Arabidopsis thaliana: one gene and its partners. The protein of the gene in region 1 interacts with the protein of each later gene in a pairwise test. Each region holds a gene or a part of one and is shown in the gene's direction. Other genes may lie near its edges.

What was found.
Region 2: the proteins of AT2G41705 (region 1) and AT4G35080 interact in a protein complementation assay, tested with the Arabidopsis thaliana proteins (one large-scale study listed by BioGRID).
Region 3: the proteins of AT2G41705 (region 1) and AT1G27190 interact in a protein complementation assay, tested with the Arabidopsis thaliana proteins (one large-scale study listed by BioGRID).
Region 4: the proteins of AT2G41705 (region 1) and AT3G46280 interact in a protein complementation assay, tested with the Arabidopsis thaliana proteins (one large-scale study listed by BioGRID).

What each region holds. Positions count from the first base shown.
Region 1 is NC_003071.7:17,393,915-17,402,225, forward strand, and holds AT2G41705 (camphor resistance CrcB family protein), read left to right. Parts: upstream 1-3,355; 5' UTR 3,356-3,596; exon of another isoform or gene 3,597-4,125; 5' UTR 4,126-4,168; coding exon 4,169-4,546; intron 4,547-4,641; coding exon 4,642-4,725; intron 4,726-4,820; coding exon 4,821-4,919; intron 4,920-5,001; coding exon 5,002-5,194; intron 5,195-5,281; coding exon 5,282-5,694; intron 5,695-5,777; coding exon 5,778-5,996; 3' UTR 5,997-6,167; downstream 6,168-8,311. Other genes in the region: ABCA1 (ATP-binding cassette A1), read right to left, coding at 1-32, 143-203, 296-504, 830-1,046, 1,417-1,499, 1,598-1,766, 1,870-1,949, 2,110-2,196; AT2G41710 (Integrase-type DNA-binding superfamily protein), read right to left, coding at 6,346-7,130, 7,214-7,275, 7,622-7,672, 7,753-7,826, 8,007-8,095, 8,185-8,193.
Region 2 is NC_003075.7:16,694,926-16,702,423, forward strand, and holds AT4G35080 (high-affinity nickel-transport family protein), read left to right. Parts: upstream 1-3,408; 5' UTR 3,409-3,458; coding exon 3,459-3,764; intron 3,765-3,930; coding exon 3,931-4,002; intron 4,003-4,295; coding exon 4,296-5,087; 3' UTR 5,088-5,396; downstream 5,397-7,498. Other genes in the region: AT4G35070 (SBP (S-ribonuclease binding protein) family protein), read left to right, coding at 1-462; CAT2 (catalase 2), read right to left, coding at 6,012-6,071, 6,186-6,279, 6,369-6,436, 6,538-6,627, 6,710-7,486. UniProt on the Arabidopsis thaliana protein: Together with CGF2, essential protein which supports female gametogenesis and embryogenesis, probably by securing local energy supply.
Region 3 is NC_003070.9:9,444,229-9,451,995, reverse strand, and holds AT1G27190 (Leucine-rich repeat protein kinase family protein), read left to right. Parts: upstream 1-2,949; 5' UTR 2,950-3,267; coding exon 3,268-5,073; 3' UTR 5,074-5,399; downstream 5,400-7,767. Other genes in the region: AT1G27200 (glycosyltransferase family protein (DUF23)), read left to right, coding at 457-2,184; AT1G27180 (disease resistance protein (TIR-NBS-LRR class)), read right to left, coding at 6,178-6,726, 6,807-7,767.
Region 4 is NC_003074.8:17,003,335-17,011,978, reverse strand, and holds AT3G46280 (kinase-like protein), read left to right. Parts: upstream 1-3,450; 5' UTR 3,451-3,568; coding exon 3,569-3,638; intron 3,639-3,740; coding exon 3,741-4,275; intron 4,276-4,608; coding exon 4,609-5,117; intron 5,118-5,372; coding exon 5,373-5,411; intron 5,412-5,952; coding exon 5,953-6,120; intron 6,121-6,212; coding exon 6,213-6,307; 3' UTR 6,308-6,556; downstream 6,557-8,644. Other genes in the region: AT3G46270 (receptor protein kinase-like protein), read left to right, coding at 7,718-7,826.

The sequences.
Region 1 (8,311 bases):
ATCATGTATAGTCCTTCTCTTATTTTCTGTTCCTGCAAGGTCAGAAAAAAAAGCGTAAGTGATAGAAAAGCAACTATTGGTAAACGAAAGATACATATCAGCTGTGTTCCAAAGTAAGCAAAATACATAAACCCAAACCAACCTTCTCAAAGACAGAGTAGCTGATAAGCCGGGAGATTGGAAACAGAAATCCCAGAAGGTACCTGCTCAACAATTATATAATCATCCAAACCATAAACACTCAAATACCATGCATACATGTAAGGAAAGAAAATATAGAGCAGGTGATACATACAACAATCCCATTACGCTTTTGACAATAGATTGAAACTCATCATCAGTGTATTCACGGGTTGGAAATGGAACCATTCTTATCACTGAGGGGCTAAACAGTGTCCATGGCAGCTCAAAGCGTAGAGCTGAACTAAGATTTGAATGTGATAATGGCAAGTCGTTATTTTGCTGAGAAGCAAATATAATGAAAGAGTCTACCACCTGCTGGAGCTGCAAAAGGGTATAAGACCAATCAAAACTGGGCGAAACCAAGATGAAACCCCCTACTTCAAGAATTTCTATTCAAATCAGATGAACTGATTTAGTTTACTAAATGGTAACTACTACTTTAGTGTGTGATAATCTAACACCTGATTTGGAATTTCTTTGACTAATCCTATATTTCCCTATAATAGCATAGATTATATAGTCTACAGACAAGAATTATCTGACTACTGTACTGCCTAGTAGCTTTATGGGGAGAGCTACAAAGATGATAGAAAAATCATGGGCACAGATTAGACAAACTTTCAATGAAAATAAGTAATGGCCATACAGTCAAGAATCCGCTAAAGCTGTATTGCATTGTTGGTATGGTATTAATCCCCATTTCGAGATCATTGATATAAGGTCCATTTGTGTCCATGATCGACTTGACATTTGGGAATCCTGCGAATGCCCATGTGTGGTTCAAGCGGATGCTATAATCAAACAAATGAGGTCCTTGTTCATGGAATACCACTGCTCCTTTTATTTTTGGATTCGAACAATTCCTAAGCAAACATGATGAGGCTTAATCAGTTTTAACATTTAAAAAAAAAAAAAAAACGAAAAAGCATAGACAGCTAGTTATAACTTTGATGATAGTACTAGTGAAGATAAAATGCAGACACACTGGGCATGTGAAGCCAAAATATCTCCCTGTTTCCAACATAGAAAAGATACCAGTCTTGTTCAGGTAGTATAATCATCAAAGTTGTAGCAAATTTGTAACAACTAACCCAAGGAGATACTGCCATTATTCAAGAAATGCTAACCAATTCACAGAATAAACAGAGAGATGTACAAGAAAAAGTTTGAAGGCGACAAGAAACTAGGGATGAAATTGCCTTCTTATTAGCTGGAAAAAAGAACAAAACATACCTCACTTCGCTACAGACACCATAATGCGCAGATGTTATATAAGTTTCCAGCTCTATGTCATCTTTAAAAATTTTAGTAACTAGCTGCAAACAGAAGACACAGGGTCGATTAAACGTGTGACATATGAAGAGTAACTATCGATCTAGAATGCAGCATAAGATGAAGACGTGATGATGATTACCCGCAGTTCCGGAAACTTAAGAGACAAAATGTCGATCATGTTATTAGTTTCATCAGTGTCAGGTGCAAAAGCTAAAAAATCCCCCTCAGCAAGCAAAAGCTTCAAAACTTCTGGAAAACTAGGAGAGTTGCCTTTGCCCACTTCGACGACTGTATCTTTGTCTATGTTCCTTTCATGATCAACAGAACAAAATGCAGAAAACGAAATCAAAATCCAATTTTAGTACGAGAGAGAGAGAGGCTAGTGACGAGTGTAAAAAACTGATATCTTACGAGTGAGCCGGGTGAATTGTGGTGTCAACCCGTGTCCTGACGGCTATCAACAGCAACATTACAATAGTCGGAAGCAAAATCTGCCAATGAATAAGAGAAAGAAGCAAAATTTGATCAACAATTCGAAATTTTAAAAACAAAAATTGCATTCAGCATCAAGGAGAAGAAGACCCATTAAGACGAGCAGTGAATAAGCATGAAAACGACATAGTTTTGAGGAGCAAAGAAAAAGAGAGAAACCTCAGCTGAAGTAACGAAGGGATGACGAGTTTTGAGGAGCCAATTCTTGCGGAGCATGGCCTTGAATTGCCTCTTCGATGAACCCATTTTTCCTTGGAACCCAGAAAGAACCCTAGACGATAGATTCTAGTCTTGGCTTCAATAAGAAATCATACTTTTATGGTTCTTCTTTGGGAAAAGGCAAAGCAAAGTAGCAAACTAAGAAAGCAGAGAGAGGTGGCGAAGACTTGGGCTCACCTCACTGACATTTGTGCTTCCTTTTTTTTTTTTTTTTTTTTCCTGCCAATTTATTTGATTCATTAATCAATTTGATTATACAATCAAACAAAAGAATTTTGCAACTAGCTGCGGATAACACAAGTGGTCGACAAAAATAGAAGAATTCCGAAACTGTTTCATTTATTTACGGGACCTTTCTTCTTCTATCAAAAAACCCAAAAAATAAGGAGAAGATTAGATTAGTTGTCGTGATATTAAGAAGGTAATCTTATATTAAACCAAAAAAAAAGAAGAAGATAATCTTATAATTAATATATATAAGTACTTAAGTACAGTTGCTGATGTTGACCCAAATATAAATCTTTGCGTCAATGCCAAGTAGGGGTGGCTCTCTCACGGGCTCCACATTAAAAGCCTAGTGTAGTGTACGTGGAACATCCTGATTCGTTTTAGAGTTGCGTTACGCCAATTATATTACGACGAAAACGACGACGTTCCTAAGTTTGACGGCAAAGTATACGAATGTTTTTATTATTTTTCCGAAGGTTGCCAATAAAAGCCGCCATTAGAATTATTCCTTTCATTGCCACTCCCCAACTTGATTCTTATTTTTATTTTTATCAGTTGTGACACAACTTTAAAGAAATCCACCTTCATATTCAATCCTCAAAAATGCTGTTTTTTTTTAACACAGAAAAAAAACAATTTTTAGTAAAATTATATCAAATGTAGAATCAAAATGACACTATTTTCTTCAACTAAAAACAATGAAACTTTTTTTTTAATACCATTAACTTTTAATAATTTATCTGGATTTTTTCAAAATATATGATCAAATTTCAAGTAACATCTAAATATATGTTAAAGATGATTTTGTTTGGGCTGTCGTTTCCAAGGATATTTTTGTTATCCGCCAGAGACAAAAAAAATCTGTTATGAGAAGCGGGGCTACTGGGCCAGCTCTTTGTGGCCCATAATTTAGAAATATTTTAAAACTTATGTATTGTTTTTGTTTTTTTTAGGGTGCGATTTTCCCGACTAAACCAACTCTACTTGTCTGTACATGTGTGTTCGACTAAACAAAGTTACAATCGTCTTCTGCTTTGTTGTTCGTCCATCTTCTACAATCGAACCTACTTCCCTTAACATCCAATAAACCAGAGAATAAATTGATGGTTTTCGATTGTCTCCTGTTAGCTCGATTTCTCCGCCGGCGACTTTTGGGATCAAATTTGATTCTTCACGATTAAGATTGAATTCGCCATTAGGTAAAGCTGCTGAATTTTAAATGTCTAGCTCAAAATCCAAACCCAAAACAGGTCCCAATCTAAGAAAAGTATTCATTCGTCTTTGCCACCTGTACAACTTTTTAAGATTTTCGTTTTTTTCTCTATTGGTGAACAAGTGATTATTTTAGTCTACCTTTTTTTCGATTTCCACTAACTAAAACGCAAGTAAATTTTTATCTTTTGTTTTAAGGGATAGTGGAGGACAAAATCTTGAAAACTGTTTTTGGATCCCTTCACCAGGTCATTCTTATTCTGCTTCTGTAGAAAGTAATAAACTAAAGTCATAATCTATCATGAATATGTGAACTTTTTTGAATTTGTTGTCTTAGTATCAAAAAGCTATGGTTTTGAAGATTACAGCTAAACTTTTCAAACAGTGTCTTTAATAAGCATTAGGAATTTCTCGAATGTTTACTTGCCACATTGTTCGATTATCTCTTGTCTCTTTTTGCACATTCCTTCATGTCTTCTTTCTTGTGTGTGTGGCTGTGGCTTAAAATATGTGCAGGTGGAGCATCATTTAAGAATCTTATGCTTTGGCTACAACGCCTATGGATACGGGTCAAAGCAGCATAGAACCTTATCAAGCCAAGTCTTTTAGTCGGGAGAGCAGTGTAGCCTCTTCTTTAAGCTTATCACGTAGTTTGCCTCACCTAATTGACAATGACGTCGATAGTGAGAGTGTCTCAGAGGCAGGGGATATTGGGGACCGCTCACTTCGGAGAAGGCATAGTGCTGGTAGAAGCAGCCGTTTGTCTGCTGATGATTTTATAGAACAAGGGACTCATGATACTTCTCGTCAAGAACAAGATATATTACATGACCTTCGAGCTTTCAACACTGCTTCCGTAAATAAAACTTTGCCTGAGGACATAACAGCATCTCCTTTACCGACCAAGTCACTCTTGTCACCTGAAATAAACAACTCCGTAGAGACTACCTCTAACTTTGCATAGTCACATCATTGTTAGTATTGGTTTCTTTGTCCAATGTTTTGATCTATTGTAGCTCGTGGGTTGCACAGGGAAAGGAGGAAGAGCGAGTGTTACCAAAGTCCTTGGAGTACATATCATGCCTAATTCATTTGGCTGTTTTTGGGATTTTTGGGGTAAAATGCTTATTTTCCATTTTCTGTCTGTCTCTCTGTTGTGCTTTGTTTTTGTTTAAATCATTATAATCAACTCGTTGACTCCAAATATACAGGCCATTACGAGATATTTGCTGCAAAAATTGTTTGGGCCAACTGGTGCTCGAGTAACAAGTGATGGGAGCATCTTGTACCTTGATCTTCCCTCCAACATGGTGAAAGTCGCAATGCACTCATCTCAAACTTAATTACAAACCTATCTTTCTTAATAAAAATTCTCCAAATGCTTCCTTATAGGTAGGATCATTCTTGATGGGTTGGTTTGGCGTTGTATTCAAAGCAGATATAGCAAGAGTTTCTGAATTTGTGGCGATAGGATTATCGACTGGTTATTTGGGGAGTCTGACAACATTCAGCGGTTGGAACCAGAAAATGCTGGATCTTAGTGCTGATGGTCAATGGGTGTATGCTGTGCTTGGCTTTTTATTAGGTAAAAACAAAAAATTCCCTTCTCAATCTCCAATCACCTACTAAATTGGATGAAACATACTTGCTTACAGCATAAACGACTTTACAGGATTGTTTCTCACGTCATACTCCATAATTCTGGGAGTGGAAACGGCCAAAGGGTTTAAATGGCTTCTTCATAGAAGAGCTTCTTCTGAGGATAAATTCCATTGTCTTAAGGTTAACACCTTCCAGAGCCATATTGTGTCTCTGACCCTGATGCTTCTGTTGCTTGTGGCTTTACTCACTGCCAGTTCCATACTGCTTGTGAAAGAGTTTGACAAAGGAACAAGCGAGGCTCAGCTATGGTTTGGTTGCTTAGTTGCAGCCCCTGGTGTCTGGCTCAGATGGTTCTTAGCCCGACTCAATGGACGTGGGCTGGGAAAGGATAGTCAAAATTTGAGATGGGTCCCATTTGGCACCCTCATTGCAAATGTAGTTGCAGCTTGCGTTATGGCAGCATTGGCTACCTTGAAGAAATCGGTATAAACTTCCTCACCTCCTCTCTCTACCAAACAGATCAAATCACAAAAGATAACATTCATTGTATATATTTTGGGAAACAGGTGAACACGAGAACATGTAACACGGTTGCTTCGAGCATACAGTTTGGTCTGTTGGGATGTCTGAGCACAGTTTCGACCTTCATGGCTGAGTTCAATGCGATGAGAGAAAGTGATTACCCATGGAGAGCCTATGCGTATGCATCTTTTACCATTGTGGTTTCTTTTGCGATTGGAACTATTATATACTCAGTCCCTGTCTGGGTAATAGGATTCAGTTAGTTGTATCAAAGCTAGATAAGTCTTGTGCAGATGATGTGATAATACATAGTCGTAACATTTGGTAGAGATGAATAATTAGATCGGTCACAATCAAATTATATTATACCTTGTGCAGAAATATTAAGAGCAAACTTCTATACTATAATGATAACTTTTTTCTGTTTTACACAAAATATCATGATTCTATATTCCACACTGGAAAAAAAAAAACACAACCACTAACAAAACCTGTACATTCCTGCTTCAGACCATTGTCACACTTTTCCCAACTTTTTCTCCATAAAAGAGACAAAGAGATGTCAAGTCGACGAATTCATCTCAAAAAAGGAGAATCTGACATACATAAAGTCTAAAGGGAACGGCTCATTTCTCTTGTGGGAGGTAGCTGTACGTGGAACAGCTGGTCTCTGTCTTTGTCACCTGCAGAAGAAAGAGAGCCAAAGAAAATGACATAAGGAAGATGTGTTGTAGTAACCTCTGAAGTCTCTGGTTCTATAGATATATGACTACGAACCTCTGAAGTAAGAGAGGATCCTGAAGGAAGAAATGGTGTCCAGAGAATAGGGTCTGCAAGAGGATCCAATGTATTGTAGTTGGTGAGCAATGGAGCCGTTAAGAGAGAGGTAAGTGGGTACATGCTTTTCTGAAGAGACAAAGCAGCAGCACCGCCTAAAGCAACTCCATGACTCACAACTGGTTTCTCTATTGCCTTGCCGTTATTCTTCTCCATATTGATGATGTTACGGTTTGCATTCTCATCGTTTTCATTATTGCAGCTTTCTTGGATCTTCAACACTTTCTCCTCTAGGCTCTTGAAGGCAGGCGACTGAGACAAGATGCTTAAAGCAGAAGAGCTTGATGGTGATGATATTTCTTTTTCTTTTCTCTGAGTTCCACAAAGGACGCCAAGGTTTGGCGCCTTGTATGGTTCTGTTGCATGGGATGTGTGTTCCAGTGTTTTAAGCTCAGTACCAGCATCTTCGACGTTTGCATCCTCTGATGCTTTTGATGAAGATTCTGGTTGACGGTTCTTGTTGGCTCCCCACCACTTTATGTATCCTGTTAGATCAATCTTTCTTTCCAGACAAAAGCTACCTAGAAAGTCACCTTCTGTTCCACGATCATCACCTGCCCCTGTTAATAATGACAATGAGTTTTGAATAGTCTGATGCAAGCAAACATTTGTTTCAATTAGGTCAATATTGTTAGCAACTCACCGTAATGAATGTTACTGAAGTATTCAGGTCCAGGCATACGACTGGCTGATGCGTCCCATCGGCTGGTCGGGAAGTGCAGAATAGATGGAAAGACAGCAGAAATGCATATCAGGTATGAATGTTAATTGTGAGAAAGAAGGTTAAAAAGACAAAACTAAAGAGGGCTACAGCCAAAACAGTGAAGATAGTTTTGCCATATCCCTATTCTTAAGAGTAGCATATAGACTTTTCTATGAAATTAACTAGTAGCATATCCACCATATGTCAATTAATCAAAACCGTGATGATCCACAATGTGTCACTAAAGAATCTTCCTTATAGGCAATTACACAAAGATGATCACTCTTGATTCCATAGTTTTTCAGACAAAACAGAGAAATGAGAACTCAATTGCTGGTCCAGTTTTACCTTTGAAGTCCACGATATTTCGCTATTCCCCTAGAGAAACCGCTGCTTTTTCTGCCAAAGGGATATCTAAAGAGTATCAGCAATAAATGGTTCTTAAAAGAAAACTATAGTGCTTTTAAATACATACGCACCTACGTAAAGATGCAAGGTATTCTTCCCTTGAGAGATTTTGCATTTCTTCTAAATCCCTGGTATAATCAGTCACCTACGAGAATGAAATACGTAAATGCATGTAGCTAAAAACAGTGAAACTTGAGAAGGGTGGCTCCAAAACACTTCTAACCATCCTTACTCCACTTATGCATATATATTGACCATGAAAATTATTAAGGAAACCACACGGTTGAAGAGTAACTTAGAAAGCATACTACGGTAGCAATCTCACCGGAAAATTTATAAGTGTCCCAGGACCCCAATATTTTAAGGCAGCAAGGTCGTAAGCTCTAGCAGCAGCCTCTTCATCATCATATGCTCCTGTCAAGTAAGAGTTGGGTTCTTCAGTGAAAAATTATCCAATTTGATATACAAGAATATAATCAACACATATAAAGCTTTTAGCTTACCTAGATAAACTGGTGTGGCGAAATTCCGTCACCCATGAAAATATATAGGAAACAGAAAAGATCAGCTTTGATACTCCAAACAAGAGAAAACTTATTGCAAATGACAACAGCAATTTTATCAGATGCA
Region 2 (7,498 bases), on another chromosome or scaffold:
CGGAAAATGGAGAGTAAAGCTTTGCTTTTGATGAGTCAGAAGGAAGAAGAAATGTCGAAAGCATTGAACAAGAACATGGAACTCGAAGATCTGTTGAGAAAAATGGAAATGGAGAATCAGACGTGGCAGAGAATGGCTCGTGAGAACGAAGCAATTGTGCAAACGCTTAACACAACGCTCGAACAGGTTCGCGAGAGAGCCGCCACGTGTTACGACGCTGGTGAGGCAGAGGTGGAGGACGAAGGGTCGTTTTGCGGCGGAGAAGGAGACGGGAATAGTTTGCCGGCGAAGAAGATGAAGATGAGTAGTTGTTGCTGCAATTGTGGGTCTAACGGAGTAACGAGAGTTCTGTTTCTGCCGTGTAGGCATCTCTGTTGCTGCATGGATTGCGAGGAAGGGCTTCTTCTTTGTCCGATCTGTAATACCCCCAAGAAAAGCAGAATCGAGGCCCTCATTTTCTAGGGAAAATCCTTTCTTTTCTCTCACCGGAAAAATGCTTGCCTTTGTGTTCCGGTGAACGGAGAGTTTTTACTCCGGGTAGATGACGTGGCAGGGTAATTTGGTAAAAATAGGGGAGGAAAGGAAAGTGAGAATAGGGAAAGGTTAGAAATAGTAAAAGGTTATCTCAAGAAGTAAATTCTGATTAGGGTTTTCATTTTCCCTTTTTGTTTTTTGGTTCTTTTTCCATTCAATGGAGAAAAAAAAGGAACCCAGCTGGATTTGATGAACATAATTCATATTTTCCTTCTATCTAATGAATTTTCGGATATAAAGTTTGAATGCCATTCTTTCTATTTCAATGATAATTAACTTCTTAGGATTTTTAAACACATTAGTATTAAATATCTTAATATACATTTTCCTAATGATTATATGTATAAGATTTTCCTATATTAAACACTTCCTAATAAGCAAAAAACTAGAAACTTTTGACCGAAAGAATAATAATTCTAAACTAATATGAAATCCAATTTAAACATATCTTTTAAAAAATTTCATTTATAAAAAAATCAATTAAATCAAATTTAAACATATGTCTTTTAATTTACATAGAAAGCAAAACAAAAAAAGTTATATTCTTTTGAACAAAAAAAAGAAAGCAATGAAAAAGTAAAAAAAAAGAAAGGAAGCATTATATATTAATGGGTTTGTTTTGATGTAGGAAGATGGTGAAAAGAGGTGGTAGTAGAGGCCGTAGACACGCGTATTGGAGGAAGCTGTAAGTATTATTGGGTTGCTCAACAATCAATATAGTACAGTGACATGAGAGCACAATAGTAAGTAATAATTCCACATTAAAAAAATAGAAATTGAAAGAGAATCAGAGTTTGGCCTGCCATAGGATTTGAGTTCTCGCACTTTCCTAAACAGAAACATGTTTCATTGAACACTTGGGCCTTTCTTCTTCCTTCATTAAGGATTCTCGATCTCTGTTTCGACAGATCTGTGCTACCTAGGTTTTCTAGATACTCCCTAATACCTATAAATAAACAATAAGTATAACCTTATTATGTAATTAGATCGTACTACTATCAATAAACAAGATTGTAGAAAATAGTGAAAAAGGCAACGCATAAAGATTAATTAAATCTTATTTAAGTTTCATTTGGGACAATTTAAGATTATTGTCTTGTTCATAGGATTTATTTCATCTATTAGTATTACAAACTTTTTTACGCAAACATTATTATCTCTATGTATAGAATGATTTAAACTTTTAACGTAAACACAAATAAACAGTCAGTCCTATGTGCTATGGATGAGGTGATTAGCATTGTAGGGTGTTTCGTGTCATATAGCTCTACTAGTAGAGATTTTGTGTGTCAGTGTGTGTTTATTTACGGCTTTGAGTCTTCAAGACCCAATTAGCCTTAAGACCTTAGTGATTTTAGACTCTTTGTTGAAAAGCTAGAAATTGCAAACCCAAACCGCCTAATGTTGCTATAGGTTTTGATTTCCGAAGTGGGTAATTAATTATGTGGATTACGTATAAACACATGGCCCGGCCCATTTTACCCCCCAAGTGCTCGGCCCAAATTGAAAGTGGGACTCACTGGATTGCCAACTAATTTTATTTAACACGACGTGAAGTTTGGAACTAATACGTCAGGTATTAAAAGTACATAAACATCATCATTACTCAATTTGCTAATGGACGAATAGAGACGGAATCAACAAAGTAACAAACGACTTCAATATTTTTTTTATATGTTACTATGATTCGACAAAGGATTTTTTTTTTGTTATGAACTGAAGATTATTGGATTTTTAATCACAAGATGTCAATATCAAAATTCAATACCATGTCTCGATTAGGGATATCAATATCATGATATTTTAACAACTTTAACTATGTAATTTAATTCGATTATCGTTTTTGTTTTAACCTTCGTTTGATTTGTAGATGGTAGAGGTATTTAGTTGTTGAACTCTTCTTTATACACATGTTGTTTGTTTTGCTTCTTAAAAGGATAATAATTTTTAAACTTATTACATGTGCACCACTGGTCGCATTCGTAGTTTTCCATATTTTATGCGAAAGAAATGAGGATATCTTGGGAAGATACAAATTATTGGGATTGTTTTGCAATAACTCCAAAATGTTATGTTTAAGAGTTTTTTGCTTACGTATTTCATATCAAGCCACGTAGATGCATTTGTAATCTCATAAAACATTTCGATTATTATTAACTTACTGCACCATATTAAAAAACAAATTTCGATATCGAGATTGTAAATTGGGCAATTAGGAATTAGGAATTGAGGTAGGTAAAGTTTATAAGCAGATGAGGAAATAATAGCAAGGAAGAGAAAGAAAGTGGATGCGTCGTGGATTCCATATTTATGTGCTTTACTTTTCCTTTTGGTAGGCGAAAATTTTGACATTTTCCAACAAACATCCTCATGTATTTCACATATTGGCCTGACCAACTATTATGCATATTTTATACATTTGATGGATTAGGCTATAACATGGTTTTTGGAGTTTACTTTTATACGTTCGATCATAGGATAAACATACGTCTTTTATTAAAAGCTCGATCTAACTATGGCATGTTTTAAAAGTTCACATCTTTTGTCTCATTGCTAATTAACGTAAGAATATTAGGCAAGTCGGCTTTTTATACGCAGTTGTCGAATCCAACTTTTACCTAAACCCTTGAAAAATCGAAATTAAGCATTTTTATTTAATAGTAAAACTCAACAATTTTTAAGGTGGTATAGTGCAATAATTTAAAGATTTATCTTAATTTTTTCACTGTGATTTCAATTTTGAAATATAGTAGATAAAAAAAAAAAACAGAAATATTAATTCGTTAACAGTATTATTATTATTCTTATTTATATAAAAATTCCTTTTTTTCAAAAATCGTATATCCTTTAAACAGAGCATCGCACGTACTCTCTTCTATCTCAGTTTCGAGACTCATTGCCTCGCCGAGAGAGAAGGAGACGCCATGGAAAGGCTTCTTCAACCATCTTCTTCTTCTTCCTCAATTTCTCCTTCCAAATTCCCTTCACGGACTTCTCCTTTCCTTCCCCGTCTCCGCTCATCGGGTCTGAGCTTTGTCTCGACTCACCGGCCCGAGTCACGCCGAGTCAGCTCAATTTCCTGCAACAGTTCCCAGATTCCGTCACTGTATACGCCTATAGGATCTAACACAACTAACAATTCCTTCAATGGGTCTCCCAAATCGGATGAATCGAAACCTAATCCCGGATTTCTCACACGGATCGCGACGTCGGCTTCTGAGCAGCGAAAGGTATTCAATTTCACGTTTTGTTCAGTGGTAATTAGAAATCTCTGGATGCTTACGTCGATGCTTACTAAATGTTTCAATTTCCACATTTTCGTATAGTTTTGGGGACGAGCTTGGCTTACATTAGATTTGGGGTTTATGGGTTTTAATGGGGTTTGATTTTATTCAGGAAACATATGAAAAGTTTGTATATAGTTTGCTCGAGAAGAAGATTCCAAGAATTACAAAAAGTTCCAATTTTGTAGGGTTACATATGTTACTATCCATCAGTCTCTAGAATCATGGAATCATGTTCTCTCTGTTTTAGGATTCGGGAGCTAATTCGATATTGTTGACATTGAACTTGCTTTTTCATGTTAGATATTGATAGTCCCTAATTTCAAGCTCCACACTTGTTGGAACAATAGAACTCAAATCAATCTAGTTTCTTTTTTGTTTGATTAGTCTGTGTGTTGGAATTGTGCTTGTTCGCTGTCCTCTTATGTAGTCTCATGGATGTTTACCAGATCAATATATATCTGTGTTTCTTTGCAGACGTTATCTACTGGAACCGTTATACTAATCTCTGCAGTAGCTGTGCTTTTGCTTAACCCGCTTCTTGCACCACCTGCTTTCGCTAGCTTTCAAACTGCAGCTAAATCCGGTTGGCTAACAAGTGCGTGGACCGGTTTCCTTGCTGGTTGCTTGCACACGCTCTCAGGACCTGATCACCTCGCTGCTTTAGCTCCGCTTTCGATCGGACGCAGCAAAATGGAAAGTGCTGCTGTTGGAGCTCTCTGGGGATGTGGGCATGATGCTGGTCAAGTCATCTTTGGTTTACTGTTTCTGCTACTTAAAGACCGGCTTCACATTGAAGTATTACAAACTTGGGGTACAAGAATTGTGGGATTGACTCTTGTTATTATCGGTGCTATGGGAATCAAGGAAGCTTCTGAGATTCCAGAACCTTGTGTCGCTTTAGAAACCGACATCAGCATGGTATCAACAGAGAAAGAAGCCTTACCACTGCCCAAAAAGAAGAAGATCGGGTTTGCTACATTTGCAACTGGAGTGGTTCACGGGTTGCAACCGGATGCTCTGATGATTGTTTTGCCTGCATTAGCTCTCCCATCACGGTTAGCAGGGTCTGCGTTTTTGATAATGTTTCTGGTTGGGACAGTTATAGCGATGGGAAGTTACACAGCGTTTATTGGGTCTTGCAGTGAGGCTTTGAAAGAGAAAGTTCCAAGGATCACAGAGAAACTAACTTGGGTTTCGTCACTTGTGGCTATTGGTCTTGGATTGGGAATTGTCATCAGCCCTTTCTTTGGTTTTAGCCTCTACTGAGAAAGTAAAAGCTTCTTCAGGTAAATGAGACAAGTTGAAATCTTTGTAGTTCTTATAGAAGAAAGAGAGGTTTTTTTGGGTCCATATCACTCGTATTATTGTCACCTGTACGAACAAAATCTCGTAATCTTGCTTCAGAAACTCCTCTCGGAGAAAACCATTTGGTGATTCTTTTTATTTTCCTTATTTTTAAGAGAAGTTTGGTTTTGGTTCTGAATTATCGATCAACTGCATGTAACCATACTTTGTAATATTATCAAATTTTAACTAAAAAGTCATTCTTGTTTATATCATTTGAACAGTACTTGTCACAAATACAAACCCCAAAATGTCAAAACCAAGTTTATTTTCTAATGTCAGGATGTCAAAGCAGAGTTCAAATCCAAATTGTCAGATTATTCACACCAAATCTAAAGACTCTCGACACCCCACACTTGATACAACGACGTTATACACAAATGTGGCCACTGTTACAACACATATTGACAACTATTGTAAATTCCCTAATACCCACACATAAGAATTTATGGATTTTCTTGTCTTTTTCGTTTCATACTTTGCTATTCCCTTTCGTCCAGAACATGCAGACTAAAAATCACGTCTTTGTCGACAGCTCTTACGGGATTACATTCGTTAATATATGAGAAATATATAAGAATATGTCACAATCTTTCAAGGAAGAAGGAGCTTTCATCAAGTAACACCACGGATTATAAATCTTCAATGTATAATGTATTATTCTGATAAACGAGAGACACAACAACACACAAGGTTCTTTTGGTCTTTAAACAGATACTATTATAACATAGCACAGAAGATCCACATGATGAAGATTGTATTATCGCAACTTTGATCTCTTCCCATTTTCTTTTCTCTGCTAATTAACAACCACAGAAAGGCCAATCAAGAATTCTTTCACTCGTTTTAGATGCTTGGTCTCACGTTCAGACGGCTTGCCAGCTTCTGTCCCAAAGACTTATCAGCCTGTTTCACACATTTTTAACCAATCAGTCAAAAATGTTTAAAACTTGACAACTTTTCAACTGCTGAGACTTGAAGAACGAGACAATGACAGTAACAGAGATCAAGATTTCAGACCTGAGACCAGTAAGAGATCCAGATACTGCGGATTTCATGCGTGATGCGTGGGTCGGATAGGGCATCAATCCATCTCTGGATGAATCGTTCTTGCCTGAAGTTGAAAACATACCGTAAAACGTTAAGAACACAGATGTTCCTTTTATGCATTAAGCATCATTACAAAAATAAAACAATTAGTACCTCTCTGGTGTAAAGGTACGGTATCTCTCTCCAGGCTCCTTGAAGTTGTTCTCTTTCTCAATAATGCACTGAAAAAAAAACAGATTTCGAAACTTTTAGATCATATGTTCTTAAGTGAACCAATCCATGGGAAACAGAAACAGAGAGGAAAACAGAGTTGATTACTGACCCTCTCACGTTTTCCAGAACAGACAGCAGGCGGAGTTGGATACTTCTCAGCATGACGAACCTGGTCATACCTCGACGGGAAGTAGTTAACCTGTAACAACAGCTTCTTGTAAGACTATGGTATTCTAGCTTCAAGTTCGATATAAAGATATTGATAGTGTACTATTAAGTACCTCCTCGTCCCTGTGCATGAAATTCATGAATCCCTCATGGTGGTTGTTGTGGTGAGCACATTTTGGAGCATTGACTGGCAGCTGAAGGTAGTTTGGTCCAAGACGGTGTCTCTGAGTATCGGCATAGGAGAAGACACGGGTTTGAAGCAGCTTATCATCTGAGTAATGTATCCCTGGGACAATAATTGCAGGACAGAAAGCAAGTTGCTCATTCTCTGCAAAGAAGTTGTCAATGTTCTTGTTCAACACCATACGTCCAACAGGTTGAAGAGGCAAGATATCCTCAGGCCAGGTCTTGGTCACATCGAGCGGGTCAAAGTCGAACTTGTCTTCATCAGCAGGATCAATGATTTGGATAAAGAGCTTCCATTCAGGGTAGTTTCCAGCAGCTATAGAGTCATACAAGTCTTGAGTCGCATGACTGTGGTTGGTTCCTCCAACACGAATTGCATCTTCTTCCAAAAGAGACTTGACTCCACAAGTTGGTTTCCAATGGAACTTCACGTAGTGAGCTTTGCCAGCTTTGTTGATCAACATGTATGTATTGACACCTGAACCATCCATGTGCCTGTAATCTTGTGGGATACCGATATCATCGAAGAGGAAAGTGAACATGTTCAAACTTTCAGGGTGGTGGGAGAAGAAGTCAAGGATTCTCCAGTTCTCTTGGATGTGAGATTTTGGGTTCGGCTTAAGAGCGTGGACCATGTCAGGGAACTTCATCCCATCGCGGATGAAGAAAACAGGAAAGTTGTTTCCAACAAGATCAAAGTTCCCCTGCATACAAAG
Region 3 (7,767 bases), on another chromosome or scaffold:
CTCTTCTCGTCTTAATTATTAAAACCAAAACAAAACATAAAAGCCATATAAAAATCACTTTAATCTCCTTAATTAATCACACTTTTAATTAAGCCAAAAGTAAGACAATGATTAGTGCTACTAATCTTCGGTGGCTTACAAGATTACGAGAACGACTCGTAAAGAAAAAACGCGTCTTCCTTGTTTCTTTCCTTCTTTATCACAACGATTATTTCCTTTTTCTTAACAAATCAAAATCAAACAATATTTCACAAATTAAATTCCTTTATATATTTCCTTTCTTTAATCTCTCTTAAAGAAAAGGAACAAGAAGAAGGTACTTTTGTCGGCCGGCGCAAAAACCAGATCTCTTCTTCACGAGTAAAAACCTTCTCTAGATCAGTTTATTAAGCAACCACCCTTTTGCTCTGTTTCTAACAAACCAGAAGAAGAAAAAAGTTTCAATTTTTCTTGAAGATGACGGAGTATGAGAATGGGAAGAAGAGGAAAGTACGAAACAAACAACAAGTAAAAGTACAGTTCTTGTCTCAAAGGTATCTAATCTTATGCTTTTGTTGTTTCTTCGTCTTGCTCTTCTTCTTATCTTCCGACCGAATCTCCACACTCTCTGTTCGTTCCGATTCTCTGAGACCGTCTCTTCGTGTTCCTACTCTCTCCGTTTTATCATCATCCATGGATTCGTTTCACCGTGGTAGATTCCCTCCGTTGAGTGTTGAAGACAGAGTTCAATTCCCTGACCATTTATTGCTGATTCTTTCGCACGGAATTGGGAAAGGTGAAAAAAACCTAGTTTGTGTTTATCGTGGAGTAAAGGAAGAGACTTTGGTGTTGCCCTCGATTTCTAGTGATGAATTCGATGAGTTTAGGTCGATTGTTCGATGTCCTAATGCTCCTTTGAACTATTCTTCATCTGTTGATTTGCAATTCCGTGGAGATTTGGTGAAGAAGAAGATGAAGAAACAGAGCCGTCGTGTTCATAATTGGGAAAAGGTTGGTTATGAGGCGGTGATTGACGGCGACACGGTGGTTGTGTTTGTTAAAGGATTGACTCGAAGACCTCACAAGGAATCAGATCCTTCTTACTATAAGTGTCAATTTGAGATTGAGAATTCGGAGGAGAAAGAGGTGACTCAAGCTATTGCTGCTGCGCAAGAAGTTGTGAGGTGTGGTTTGCCTGAGAGTTTGAAGCTAAATCCAGAGATGATGTTTCGAGTGAGTGTAATTCACATTGATCCTAGAGGAAGAACTACCCCTGCTCTGCCTTCGGTTGCGAGAATCTACGGTTCTGATTCGATTGAGAAGAAGGAGAAGAAGAGTGGAGTTAAGCATGAGCTTTGTGTTTGTACAATGTTATGGAACCAAGCTCCGTTCTTGCGTGAATGGATCATGTATCACTCGTGGCTCGGTGTCGAACGTTGGTTTATATATGATAACAACAGCGATGATGGTATACAAGAGGAGATTGAGTTGCTTAGTTCGGAGAATTACAATGTGAGTCGACATGTTTGGCCTTGGATCAAGACTCAAGAAGCCGGTTTTTCGCATTGTGCGGTTAGAGCGAAAGAAGAATGCAATTGGGTTGGATTCTTCGATGTCGACGAGTTCTACTACTTCCCTACGCATCGCTCTCAAGGCTTACCGAGCAAAAACGCTTTGAAGTCGCTTGTATCGAACTACACTTCTTGGGATTTGGTTGGAGAGATCAGAACGGACTGTCATAGCTACGGTCCATCCGGTCTGACCTCGGTTCCATCACAAGGCGTGACCGTAGGTTACACTTGTAGACAAGCGAACCCCGAGAGACACAAGTCGATAATCCGCCCTGAGTTGCTCACAAGCTCATTGCTCAATGAAGTACATCATTTTCAGTTGAAAGAAGGAGTGGGGCATATGAGTTTGGTGGAGAGTGTTGCGGTAGTGAACCATTACAAGTACCAAGTTTGGGACACTTTCAAAGCTAAGTTTTACAGAAGAGTGGCTACTTATGTTGTTGACTGGCAAGAGAATCAGAATCAAGGGTCTAAAGATCGAGCTCCAGGGCTCGGGACAGAGGCAATCGAGCCGCCGGATTGGAAACGACGGTTCTGTGAAGTGTGGGACACTGGATTGAAGGATTTGGTTATGTCGAATTTTGCTGATCAAGTGACTGGTTATCTGCCGTGGCAGAGGCAACAACAAGAATGACTTTTAGTTGGTTTCTGATTCAGCAGCAGGTGTACATTTTATTTACATTTGACAAGGATACATACAAAATCTACATCAATATTTCTTTCTTTTGTTACTTACATTTTTTTTTTGGTTTTGTTGATTGGTGGGGGATAAAGTTGGCTTATAATATCTTTTGTTTCTTAGAGTTTACCACATGTAAATTTCGGTAACACTGCTAAATCCCTTTTTTTTTGTTTTTCTTTCTTGTTCTTATATGAATGGAAGTGAAAGATTTCAAGAACGAAATTTGTAGTAGTAGTACTTAGGTTTCGAGTTAGAATCTCAGATGAAATGTTTAAATATTACAAACGGTTGGTCTCGAGGCAATGAAGATTATGGGCCTAAAGTCATGAAACCCATGAGCTGAAATGTAAGTTAATGCTGTGAAAGCCCATGGGCCAAAACACATTTTTGTTCAAGTAATGTCTTTTTTTGTTTCCTCAGTTCTAGTAATAATGTCTTCTGTTTTAAAAAAATAAAATATTTTTGTCTTTTTCTTTATAACAAGTTCAAAACTCTTGTGACTTATTATTATTAGTTTATTACCAGCCAACCAACCTTTCATACAAAAAGAATCCCATTTAAGTCACATTATATCAATATCAATAGAGGAAGAATTTAATTTTGATTAAATTGATACGTTAGAGTTAAAGAATCATGGTTCTAAAATTCCATGTCTGATTTTAGGCAAACCTATCAATACAAGAAATGAAAAAAAAATCTTCACCCAAAAGTGTTATCCTTTTTGAAAAATTAGCTTTCCCTTTCAATTGTAACATGTAGTAGTAGACTAGACTGACTTGTATATATCCTCTGCTTCTCTCAGACTTGCTTTTCCAACGGTGTCGTTTTGTAAGAAGATTCTTTTTCCCCAAACAAAAGATAAATACTAATTTCCACTAAGTTACTAAAAAAAAAAAAGAGTCAAAAGAGCAACAAAAAAAAAAAGTTTCTCATCTTTTCTCAACAGTATCACACAGTCAATGACCATTCTTCTTCCGCCATAGAAGCTCTCTCTGCTTTTTAACCTAAGAAGAAGAACTAGATCCATCCTTAATCATGAAGAAGATCTTCATCACACTCTTATGGCTTCTCTTCATAAGCTCGTTTCTCTGTTCTTCTTCTTCAGCTGAAGACGACGTTCTCTGTCTCCAAGGTTTGAAAAACTCACTCATCGATCCTTCTTCTAGACTCAGTTCCTGGTCTTTCCCAAACTCTTCAGCTTCTTCGATTTGTAAGCTCACTGGTGTTTCCTGCTGGAACGAGAAAGAGAATCGGATTATTTCTCTTCAGCTTCAATCGATGCAGCTCGCCGGTGAGATTCCTGAGTCTCTTAAGCTTTGTCGTAGTTTACAATCTCTGGATCTCTCTGGAAACGATCTCTCTGGTTCGATTCCTTCTCAAATCTGTTCGTGGCTTCCTTATCTCGTTACGTTAGATCTGTCTGGGAATAAGCTTGGTGGTTCGATTCCGACTCAGATCGTTGAGTGTAAGTTCTTAAACGCTTTGATTCTGAGTGATAATAAGCTTTCTGGTTCGATTCCTTCTCAGTTGAGTCGATTAGATCGCCTTCGACGTCTTTCTCTAGCAGGGAATGATCTCTCCGGTACGATTCCGTCCGAGCTGGCTCGGTTCGGAGGAGACGATTTTAGCGGGAATAACGGACTTTGTGGGAAGCCTTTATCGCGATGTGGAGCGTTGAATGGGAGAAATCTGAGTATTATTATAGTTGCTGGAGTTCTTGGAGCTGTTGGATCTTTGTGCGTTGGTTTAGTTATATTCTGGTGGTTCTTTATTAGAGAAGGTAGTAGGAAGAAGAAAGGTTATGGTGCTGGGAAGTCTAAGGATGATAGTGATTGGATTGGTTTGTTGAGGTCACATAAGCTTGTTCAGGTGACTTTGTTTCAGAAACCTATTGTGAAGATTAAATTGGGTGATTTAATGGCTGCTACGAACAATTTTAGTTCAGGGAATATCGATGTTTCGTCGAGGACTGGGGTTTCGTATAAAGCGGATTTACCTGATGGGTCTGCACTTGCGGTGAAGAGGCTTAGTGCTTGTGGGTTTGGTGAGAAACAGTTTAGGTCGGAGATGAATAAGTTAGGAGAGCTTAGACATCCGAATTTGGTGCCGCTTTTAGGGTATTGTGTTGTGGAAGATGAGAGACTGTTGGTGTATAAGCATATGGTTAATGGTACGTTGTTTTCTCAGTTGCACAATGGTGGATTGTGTGATGCTGTTTTGGATTGGCCGACTCGGCGTGCGATTGGTGTGGGAGCTGCTAAAGGGTTAGCTTGGTTGCATCATGGATGCCAACCGCCGTATTTGCATCAGTTTATTAGCTCCAATGTTATACTTCTTGATGATGATTTTGATGCTCGGATAACAGATTACGGATTGGCAAAGCTAGTTGGATCTCGTGATTCGAACGATAGCTCGTTCAATAATGGGGATTTGGGGGAGTTAGGTTATGTAGCGCCTGAGTATTCGAGCACCATGGTTGCGTCTTTGAAAGGAGATGTGTATGGGTTTGGGATTGTGCTTCTTGAATTGGTTACAGGGCAAAAGCCTTTGTCTGTTATTAACGGTGTGGAAGGGTTTAAAGGGAGTTTAGTTGACTGGGTGAGTCAGTATTTGGGTACTGGTAGAAGCAAAGACGCTATTGATAGAAGCATATGTGATAAAGGACACGATGAGGAGATATTGCAGTTCCTGAAAATCGCATGTAGCTGTGTTGTGTCCAGGCCTAAGGAAAGGCCAACGATGATTCAGGTGTATGAATCTTTGAAGAACATGGCAGATAAACACGGTGTTTCGGAGCATTACGATGAATTTCCTCTGGTCTTCAACAAACAAGAAGCTTGAGTATCTTTACCAGAAAGTAGTCTTTTTTGGCAGCTTAAGCGCTAAGAAGGTATGAGAAATCTACTTTTGTATCAGAAGCTTTTTTTTTTTTACTTTATATCTCATTCTTTGTTCCTTCCCTCAGTGTTGTTAGTTTTTAACCGTGTCAGTGCTCGTGTTTGTCTTGTATCTCCTACCGTATAATTCTGTACATTCGTTTGGGTCATTAATGTACTCTTTGGAATGTAACCTCTTCTGATGAAATGAGAAGATTTCAGTCTTATTTCAAGCTCTCCTATAGTTTGGCATTTGGTTTAATTTCTTAGGTTCGTAACGGCTCTATGCCTTGGAGTTGAATCATTTGAAGAATGTTTATTTGTCTGTTGATTTTATCTTTTGAAGTAATGTCTTTGATAGTCAAAAAGGTCAATGCGTAATTTGGTGTGTTGTGATATCTTTTGGATGAGATGTGGGGTTTGGTCTTATAATAAAGACAATAGAGTTAAAAGAAACCGATATGTTGGAGGCAGATGTAGAGATGTCTGCGTCTCGCTTGGCCATAGACACATGAACTTCGACCCCACTTCTCAATAATGCTTGCTATCGTCTTGTCAACATTTCCTTTCACAATTTGTTACTTTCTTCTTTGTTACTACTGTTACAAGTTGTGAAAGTCATTTTTTGTATCGAGTGACTTAAATGTCAATTCAGCATACACTTATTGTATCGAGCAGGACACTTGGACTCTCGGTTTTATGTAAAGCTTCATCTGCTACAATGGAAACAGTAAATATATGAAAACTTGTTGGAGAATGAGAAATAGAACAAACACACTTTAGGTCTTTAGCAGATAAAATACCTTGATCATAGAAGTCTTTGGATTTGTTAACCAAGTCTTCACAAATTTTGTGAACATTCTACAAAATTGCACAGAATTGTGGGAAACAAGAGTCTCCTCTTTTTGGGTTTTTATTGATTATAGAAGCAACGGTATAAACTGTAAAAAAACAACTAAACATCCTAGAAAGAAAAAACTTACAGAAGCACACACGCTATATGATCAACAAACAGCTTGTATGGAAAGAATGTTTTTGTGCAGTTTCTTAACTTCTCTGTGGTAGCAGATCATGCAACAGTGGAATCACCTTTTGCGCTGGCTTCACCTTCTTCAAACGAGCTGAAAAAATTGGCAAGTTTCTGAGAAACGGTTTGTTGAGCCTCGGGTAATGTATTTTCTCTGCCTTCCAAATCATCATCCCCCTCGTAAACGAGATGAATGCCATGCATCTTTAGCTCAACGCCTTGTTTGATTGGTGGGTTTCGTTTGATCACCTGTATGGTGTACCCGTCTTTCAACATCGTAACCAGTGGGTGAAAAGCTGAGTATCGGCAGATGTGAAGCTGATCGTTATTTGTTCTAGGCACTCCGGAGAGATGCAATGTGTTGGTGCATTTGTGATGATCAAGTTTATGAATTTGGGCTTGAACCTCCATCACATCAGGCAGCTGATAGTCGTCATCTTCGGTTTCATCATTAAGAGCCACAACAACAGCAATGATTACACCTCTGAGCTCTCTGTTCGGTTGAGCTGAGAATGTGACAGGGCCTTGCGAGAACCAGTCCGGGACCCTGTTTCCAGGCAAGCTCAGATTCCGCATCATCTTCAAAGAAGCCTGCAGTAACAAATCAAAAGTGGTGTAAGAAAGTTTTTTAAATAGGCCATGATGAGATTCTGTGGAGTTTTTGGAATCACCTTGGAAAGTCTTTTCTTTACTGCAAGGGAGTAGTTGGAGTTACATCCGGTCATGTATAATCTTTTCAGAGCCGTCAAGTGCTCTAGGCCTGGAATATCAACCACTTTCGCACAGTTTGTGAGATTGAGATCCGTCAAGATCGTTAACTCTGAAAGGTCGGATACACTCTCCAATGAGAAACAGTTTGCTAGGTTTAGCTGCTCCAGTTTACATGGAAGAGGGGGAAGACGCTTGAGCTCTCGGCAGTCACGTAATGAAAGTTCTTGGAGATTTGATAACTTTACGAGGCTAGACGGAAGACTATGAAAATAATTATTCCCCAGATTCAGTTTCATCAAACACGAAAGCTTCTCAAGATCATCAGGGATTTTACCCGATATTCTCCAGCTGCAAGCATCTAGTTCCTCAAGCTTCAAGAGCTTTGAGAAAGAGTTTGGTACTTCTACAAAACGAGGTTCTTCGCTTGTACCTGGAACATTACTCTCAGAAATTCTAAAAAGAGGCTTCTTCAGCATTTCCAGTACCATTAAATTTGAGAGGTTTCCGAAACTTTCTGGCAACTCCGCGACCAAAGTTTCCTGCATGTACAGACGGTGAAGAGATTTCAAGTCTCCAAACGATTTAGGAAGCCGTTTGAGCATTTTACAGTTGTTCATTCGCAGTTCAACTAGGTTTTCCAGCTTGCCAAATTCTTCCGGCAGTTCCTCAATGTTAGAGCCTACAAGGTTTAAGCTATAGAGTGTGTCCATCTTTCCGATTGTTTTAGGCAGAGCCTTCAGAGATTTGCAGTTTCTCAAGTCAAGTTGTCGAATAAAGTGCAAGTCTCCAATCTCTTCTGGTAGAGCTTCAATTGGGGTGCTATCCAACTGAAGTTGGAGAAGAGAATTTAATCCACCAATTGAACTCGGAACCTGTTTCAGAAATTTGCAATCTCCTGCAGAGAGGTCAGTCAAACATAGG
Region 4 (8,644 bases), on another chromosome or scaffold:
AATTTATTAATTTGGAAATGAAAGATCATACTAATGCACCTTGTGACATTATTCTTAAATAGAATTATTGCCTAACAAGACACCGCAACCAAATATATTAATTTTGTTTTAGTGGCTGGCAAAAATTGATAGATGCAATAGTGAAGTTTGGGAAATGATGATATATAGGATTAAATAAGTAACCAAGATTGGTGGAAGCCCATAGCCTAATTGTTAGCCCACGTCTATGTAAAGTGTTTTATCTTAGTCTTCTTCACATCTAAAGCTGAAAGTTAAAAACGAAAGATTTCTACTTTATATGTTGGATATTTTTCATTTTGTGTCGGCAGCTTTGACTGGTTTCTCTTTTTAACCCAACATAGAAAAGTTATTCATTTCATGACTCAAATGCATAAGTTTTGGTAACTATTCTATCGGCTATCATATTTGTTAATGCACGAATTAAACAAGTACGAGTGAATCTCTAGGGAAGGTGAAGAATCCGTCTCTAAACCGCGAGCTGGGCTTGAAGTTGAATGACGACGGGCTGAAAAGTGAGAAGCGAAACGAGATGACGTGACTGAGGGATTTGGATGATTTTGACGAGCTGAGGCGTTCAGCGAAGAGGAATTACGAGCTGGGAGCGCGATCGCTTAATCTGTCTTGACGGGCTGACTTGTCGATTGACGAGCTGACTTGCCGATTGACGAGTTGACTTGCCTTGTTCTTTCTCCAAGTGCCAAAAAGTTGTCCTTCCCAAAACTTTCCATTCTTTATTTATACTCGTCCGTATTGTAAGGCACACAACGTGATTTTCCAAAAATAAATTTTGCGCAGCCAAACGTTTATCTTTGCGGGTCGGGTGTTAAACTAGTTAGGCGAATTCTTTCCTGCCGAATCTGCCCGGGTTTTAGTCACTGGGTTGGGCCGAAATTGGCGAAGCCCAATTTCACCCCTTAACAATATTACAAACTCTTGGTTGAGATTATATGAATAATTCACCGATATCAAAGGCCAAAAAATGGTTCTATCATGAAATCACTTATCATGGTTACTCTTTCTTGAAAAAATTATTAATAGAAATAATCATAGAACAAGGAAGAAAACTTGAGAAAAACATTCTATCAATAATACATAAGCTTTGTATCTCTTAGTCGACCTCCGAACCCTACACTAATTTCAACCTATGATTAGGACTTTGCTGATTTGCGGGCAAATCGGCTGAACAAATGGAATTTCCAACCACACATCGTTGAATATACATGAATCATGACTATATTGGTATGGTACAGACATATATTAACGTATCAATTGAAAATTTGGACGAATGTGATGTCAAAAAGACAAAAACAAAATGAACAAACGTGAGCCGTTTACTCTCAAATTCCTATAAATGGGCCCATAACAAACACAAAAACAGTTAACTCTAAAAAATGTCCATTCCACATGGAGTCAACCCCAAAAAAAGTTAGATCAAATTCACTCAATCAAATAAGTTGGAACAAACTCAAGTGTGAATTGTTCTTCCTAAATAATCAAATCTCATCCAATTTAGAAATCACTTGTACCCTTCCTAAAATATTTGTTTTTAATCTGTAAAATTTAATTCGAGCAATTGACCTAGTCAGTCAGGCAGGGCCGACTCGTTATATTTAGCTGCCTAAAGCAAAACCAAAAATGAAGCCCATTAACAAGTGCATCTACTAACTTAATTTGGTTTTAAGTTTCGAACAAGGGACCAGCCTAGTCGCGGACCAAACAAAATTGGCGTAAATGATTCTTATGTTGTTCATCAGGTTGATCATCATCAACATGGATCAGCCTAGTCGCGGGCGACCTGGAAAGTTATTCAAAATATCAAAATATTTGTCGTTGTGAAATTTTCTTGTGAATACTATCCCAAGAAAAAAACTGTGTTATCACATATATAGCTATATAAATTTTGTTGTTTCCAATTTAAATGATAAATTTGGCATCTTTCATCTTCCATCATCCTCGTCAGATCTTTCAATCATCATATAACAAACATCATATGCAATAATCAATAGTTGACTGAATTTTCCTATACTCATGCGTTGACAAACGATTGGTATTCCTAGAGAAATCTATACGTACAAACATAATGGGCCGGGTATGCTAGGAATTCAAAAATACCACAATCAAAAATACATTTCAACGTACGTTATGATAGTCAGCCAAAATCTCAAGTCACTGAAAATTGGCTGGCCGGTTTTGTTGCAACAACTACCTAACCAACGATGAATATTCACTGGAAAATCAACCGTAAAACACTAGTACGAAGAAGGCTAGTGCAATTTGGCATTATATTAGAAACACAAGACCTCGTGTGGACTGGTCTCATTTGGTGTGGATAAAACAGATAGTTCGGATTCTTAAACACAAACTGGTTCTGCATTAACAAGAGGCCGGCCAAATGTCAAAGATAGATTATTAGGATGAGAGACATCCTTTGGATCCCACTTGCTTCCTCTCGTTTATTTTTAAATTTTACAATTGAGCCCTACACCAGTTCCAACCTATGAATAATACTGACGTTGATCATACGAAGAGATCGGCGGAACACATGAAATTATTCAACCACTTTGTTCGCACTATGTTGAATTTTTTTGTTTACTTCATTAAAATATACACATGTGTATGTTATACTAATACAATGTACCTATAAAATAAAAGAGGATGAACGTGAGCCGTTTACTCTAAAGTCTATGTGCTATATAAGAATACAAACAAAGCCATTGACTTCGATATGTCAACTTTATGCTAAGTCAACCAAATGATGAGTTGGACAAACCTATCAAGTGCCAATTCTTCTTCTTAAATAATCAAGTTCCCTTCAAATAATCGACCATTTTAATTAGAAGATATTAATTGGCCAATAATATTTAGAAATATAACATCAAACAACAAAGCTGACATAATGTGTAATTGTGTATATAAGGTATTTTTCACTTATTTTATCAATGAATTTTTATAATGATATTCTTATGCATGAATATATTTTAACAAGGTATATTTTTTTTAGTAATTTTTAACACAATAATTATTGAATCACGGTAAACACCACTAAAAAGGAAAGATAGGTAGATGTGATTTAGACTCATATAGTAGGATCTATATCCATGAGTGCCGTATATTTTCATATATTTATATTTAATGAATTCACAATTGTCTAAACTGATTATTAAATTACTACATAAACTAGGCTAACATGGCATACGTACGTACTCACAAAATATTTTAGATTCACGTAGCTAGCATTAGGTCGGGAACAATTTGTTATATATAACCAATTAAATGTGACGGATTAGTTGGTTAATCTGTTGAAATTAACAATGATCTAAAACCAAAATCGAGATATATGCACGCTGATGCATATAATATGAGCTGTGGAATCTCAATAAGTCAAGTCAACTAAATATTATATGAGCTGTGCAATCTCAATAAGTCAAGTCAACAATATGAACATATACTTTAATTATATCATCTATCTATTGCGTATTTTGTTTTTCTTTTTTGCTTCTATATATTACGTATGTGTGCATGTAAGTAAGTTAAATTTAGCTCGTTGATGATGGAGGCGCTTCTTTATGTCATCACTCTCTTCTCTCTCTCAGCCCTAACCGTTACATTAGGAGAAAGTACGTTACAAACATTAATATTTTTCTTAATTTGATGACCCAATGAAATTTTATTTTAAGTCTACTAAACGTTTTTTTTTATTTGGTTTGGCCTATCGTTAGGTATAAGCATCGACTGTGGATCAACCGGATCTTACGTGGACTCCAACAATGTAACATGGGTCGGAGATAAAGGCTTCGTCACCAACGGCGAGCCCATGAAGATTCCGGACGTTGTCAAAAAGCCAATCAACACTCTCCGGTACTTCCCAACTGGTCAAACCAACTGCTACACCAACATTCCGGTGACAAAAGGCCAGAAAACCCTCGTGAGGACGAAGTTTTACTATGAGAACTACGACGCGAAGTTCTCGCCGCCATCTTTTGATGTGATTTATGACGGGAAACACCGTGATTCTATTGTAATTACCGAGTCGTTGCTAAATGATGAAGAAACGTTCTATTTCTCGGAGGTGATATATGTTCCGGAGAATAAGAATATCAGCGTCTGTCTCTTACGTACGTCTCCGTCCGACAACCCATTTATATCGTCCATTGAAGTTTATAGTTTGGACACTGGCATGTACGACGATCTTGGTCCTAACGAAGGTCTCATTCTCCACGACAGAATTGCATACGGTGCCAAAGAGCTTATAAGGTATACTGATACACAAAGCTTTTACTAGAATTTTTTAATCAATATATGCATCTAATAATCATAGTATTAAAAGTTTTATATGATGTCTTTTCGTTGACTTTAATTTTCTTTAAAGCTTTAAATTATCTGCAATCCATTGCTAATATTTCATTAGGCATGTAGTTTTAACCCTATACGTCTAGACAAGATTTATTAATTCAAATATAAAAGCTTGTATAACGTCAATTTGCATTTATAGAATTGTATCAATTAGAAAGGACAACTTTCTTTCAATGTGATATTATTGCGTAATTAATATATTTTCATATTGTTGGTTTCTTGATATATATTTAGCTACCCGTTAGACCCCTACGGTAGGGTATGGTTAGCGTTAGGATCCCAAGACTCCACACTGACCGATCTAACGACCTCAGCCCCATCAATAGACATCACCGGGGCGTCGAACAAGCCACCAGAGATTGTTATGTCAAAGGCATTATCAGGAGTCGGCTTAGTACTCTCAGACCAGACTCTACCCCTAACCGGAGTACCAGTATACTTGGTTCTTTACTTCTCAGAGCCTCAAAGTCTAGGTCGAACCCAGAGACGATCGTTCAACGTTTTCTTGGACAACACTCAAGTGGGTTCGCGTCCCATCGTACCGGTTTTTGGGAAAGCAACTCAATTCATTTTGAGAGATGTAGTGGCCACATCGGCGTCCCAGATAGTCTTTCAGTCAACGGATGACTCCGTTTTGCCACCCCTCATCAACGGATTGGAGCTGTACTCGATAAGTAATACCAGTCCAGACAGTGGAGGCGGCGGTGGAGACCAAGGCGGCGGTAGTACGGATGATTCGGAAGGTTAGTTAATTTATTATTGGACCAATACATAAAAACTATAAATAGTTAATTCAAGTAATTAAATAACGATAATTTGTCAAGTTATAAATAAATAACCAAACTCGAACATGAAAAATTGATGTTGATTTTAGTGGACAATAATTAGGAAGGAATGATCTCAATGCAAAGAAAGAAAAAATCAACTTGATTAAATCTAAAGTATGAAATGCTTTGGATGATACTAATTATTTTCATTTTATAATGTAATGAATGAAGGTTCTGGAGGAGCGAAACAAGCAAAAAATTTGGGAAAAGGTTTTTACTCAAATCTCTATATACATTTCTCTTTATTGTTATTAAGTTATTTAACTTTGGTGTTTTTTAATTTTTTTTTAATGATTTTTAGTTATCACAAATTGAAAATTATCTCACCAAATAGAATTTTCGGAAAATAAAAAATGGTACACTATGTATCTAAAGTCTAAAGATATTGGATATATATCTAACCTACATGGATAACATAGATATTTAGTACTCTTTAACAACACTATTTATTTATATACATTATTAAATATATATATTTTCTGTTAATTTATTTTAGTAAATGGTATCTATTATTTTCTAGCAGAGATTATACTGATTTTTTTTTTTTTTTTTTAAGTTCATATACATAAAAATTTAACAGTGAGGATATGAAATTTAATCATTTGATTGGATCATTCTTTGCCACTTTATCTCAGCACATTTAATAAATTACTAAATTTAGATATATCTCAATTAATTTTCAAATTTTAGATAAGGTTTAGAAAAGTTTTTCTTTTGTGCATGTCGTGACGCCTTTATATGACGACTTTAGGTGGGGCAAAAAGCAGTGGAGGGAAGAAGAATAACAAATTACCACTCATTCTTGGCGTTACGTTCGCCTCCGCCTTTGCAGTTCTCGCGTCAGCGTTTGCAGCTATTTGGAAAAAGCGTCAAAATGCTAAGTCACAGTCGAACAGTACTGTACCAAATACGTCCACAGGTATGGTTAAGTTAATTGAAATATAAATTACTATATGTTAATTATTCGAATATAAATGACAAGTACGTAATAATTTGAATTTATTTTTCAAGAGCATGGAACAGGCACAGGGATGTCGCCTCTAGTTGGACAGCAATTTGCCAGCGATATGACTGATTCATATGTTGTTGAAGATGGACATCATTGACATGGACACTAGTTATTGAAGAGCTCAATCCATGTGTTATTATTCTTCATGTTTTTTTCTTTCCAAACATTTATGATTCTTTTAGTTTGTAAAAAAGTTCTATTGTATTTCTATCTGTATCCGACCAAGAGTGGAAAGAATAATTTGAAAACGTGATGCATGATAATGTGACAGTAAATTTAGAATTGGAAAATATGTTATTGCTCTGATATAGTCTTCAGTAGACATCAGACGTATATATTATATACACAAGATGGACCTAATTCTAATTATTTACAAGAGAATATTAGAATAGTACATGATAGGAGACATTATAGAGATTGATATTGATTCGAAACTCGCTGTTTTCTTCCTACAAAAAAAAACAATATAGCTCTTTTCTTTTACACTACCCACAAGAAAAAAAAAAGAAGAATCAACTGATATAAAATCTTATCCAAATTTTTAGTTTTGGAAGAGTGCTACAAGTTACATGAACTCGTTAATTATCATAGTCTTCGATCCAATAATATTGTAATTATCAAGATCAATAATTTCTTGATATAGTCAGAAAAATTCGTGTAATTAACCATCATGGTCTTTATGTTGAAAGTTACTTTAGAAAAGTATAACTACAAATGTGAATGATCTTATAGTCATTTGTTGGGGCAAACACTATAACTATCTTCGGTTGCACATGCTAAAGTAAATTAACAAATGCAAATCTCTCCATCCACTAATCTTCGTGTTATCATAATTAATCTTCCTTTTAAATTACTGATCGGTTATTAATTTCCCACTATCATTACTTCATTAGGTATAATCATTGACTGTGGATCAACGGGATCTTTACGTGGACTCCAACAACGTAACATGGGTCGGAGATAATGGCTTCGTCGCCACCGGCTAGTCCATTAATATTACGGACGTCGTAAGAAAATCGATCAATACTCTCCGGTACTTTCCAACCGGTCAAACCAATTGCTACACCAACATTCCGGTGACAAAATGCCAACACCAAAATTGTGTACGACATGTATATCAATGTCAAAAGCCAACACCAAATTTTACATATAATATTGATGAAATGATATGATACGATATTATTAAGTTCCAGTTTAACTGATAAGAAAATTATTAATTTCCAATTGACAGTATATGAACGGAATATTTCTCTTAGGCTTAAATTAATAAATTTCATTCTACTAGGTTTATATGATACTACTTTGATAAACTACCTAACTTGAATATAATATGACGTATAACCCAAAAATAATATATCCTATTGCCCACCAGATACGTATTTAATCATTGAATTTCTCTTTGTATCCTACTAATTAGTCATGATCTCACGTAATTTTCAGGCTTTACTCTGAAAAGTCTTCTCTTATAATGTCAATGCAAGTTCTGCTTTAAATCAAGAAAAAATACATGATGTCTATACACAGTGGGGATATGGAGAGTCCCCATGGGGTTTTGTTACTCGCATTTATATCAACTTTGGCTATTGTTCACCTTGTTCAAGCTCAGGATCAAAAAGGTAAATATTTTTGTTAGATATAGTTGTATATCCCTTTGGCATTCATGATCATCGTCTTACTACAATGAACATAATGGAATCAACCCTTATGGGTTGACGACATATGTAGTTGAAACTTGAAAGCCATTGGTAAAAGATAAATTCTTTAAAATACCATACTTGTAAGTTTTGTTGCAATAACTACTACTATTAGTTTCATAAAATTGTGATTTAGAACGCAAAATAATTTATGGTTAATTTCGGTTTAGTTTGATTTTTTTTACACTAACCATAGAAATTAATTTCGGAAGAATTTTAAAATGCAATTAACCGATATAATAACCAAAATATCTGATTGGTTCGGTTTGGTTAATTCGAAGTGGCATGCTTAGTTTAGGCTTCAAGGATTAGTTTTGAATCTTGAAAGTTAAATTTTAGTTTTGTTGTACTTTTGAAACCTAAAACATTCAATGGTATTACTAAAAACTTATATTTAAGTGGTATTTTAAAAAACAAAAACTTAAATGTGGTATTTTGAGAATTGTCCTTGCTAAAATCATCTAAACATCGAAAAGGGTGTTACTACAATATGTGAAGAAGGAAATGAATATAGACCACAAAAGTGTCTAAAATCTCCTTCCCGCTGTGTTTAATTGTTTTGTTTGATCACTGTAGTTTGATTTAGGGATGGGCAGTCTAGTTAAAGATTAGGTTTGGTTTCAGTTTAGTTTTTTTCAGATTTTTTCGATAATAACAAAATATCCATATAAAATCATTTTTAAATCAGTTTTTATTGTTCTTCTTTTGGTTGTTTTGTTGAAACCTAAACTATAAATATC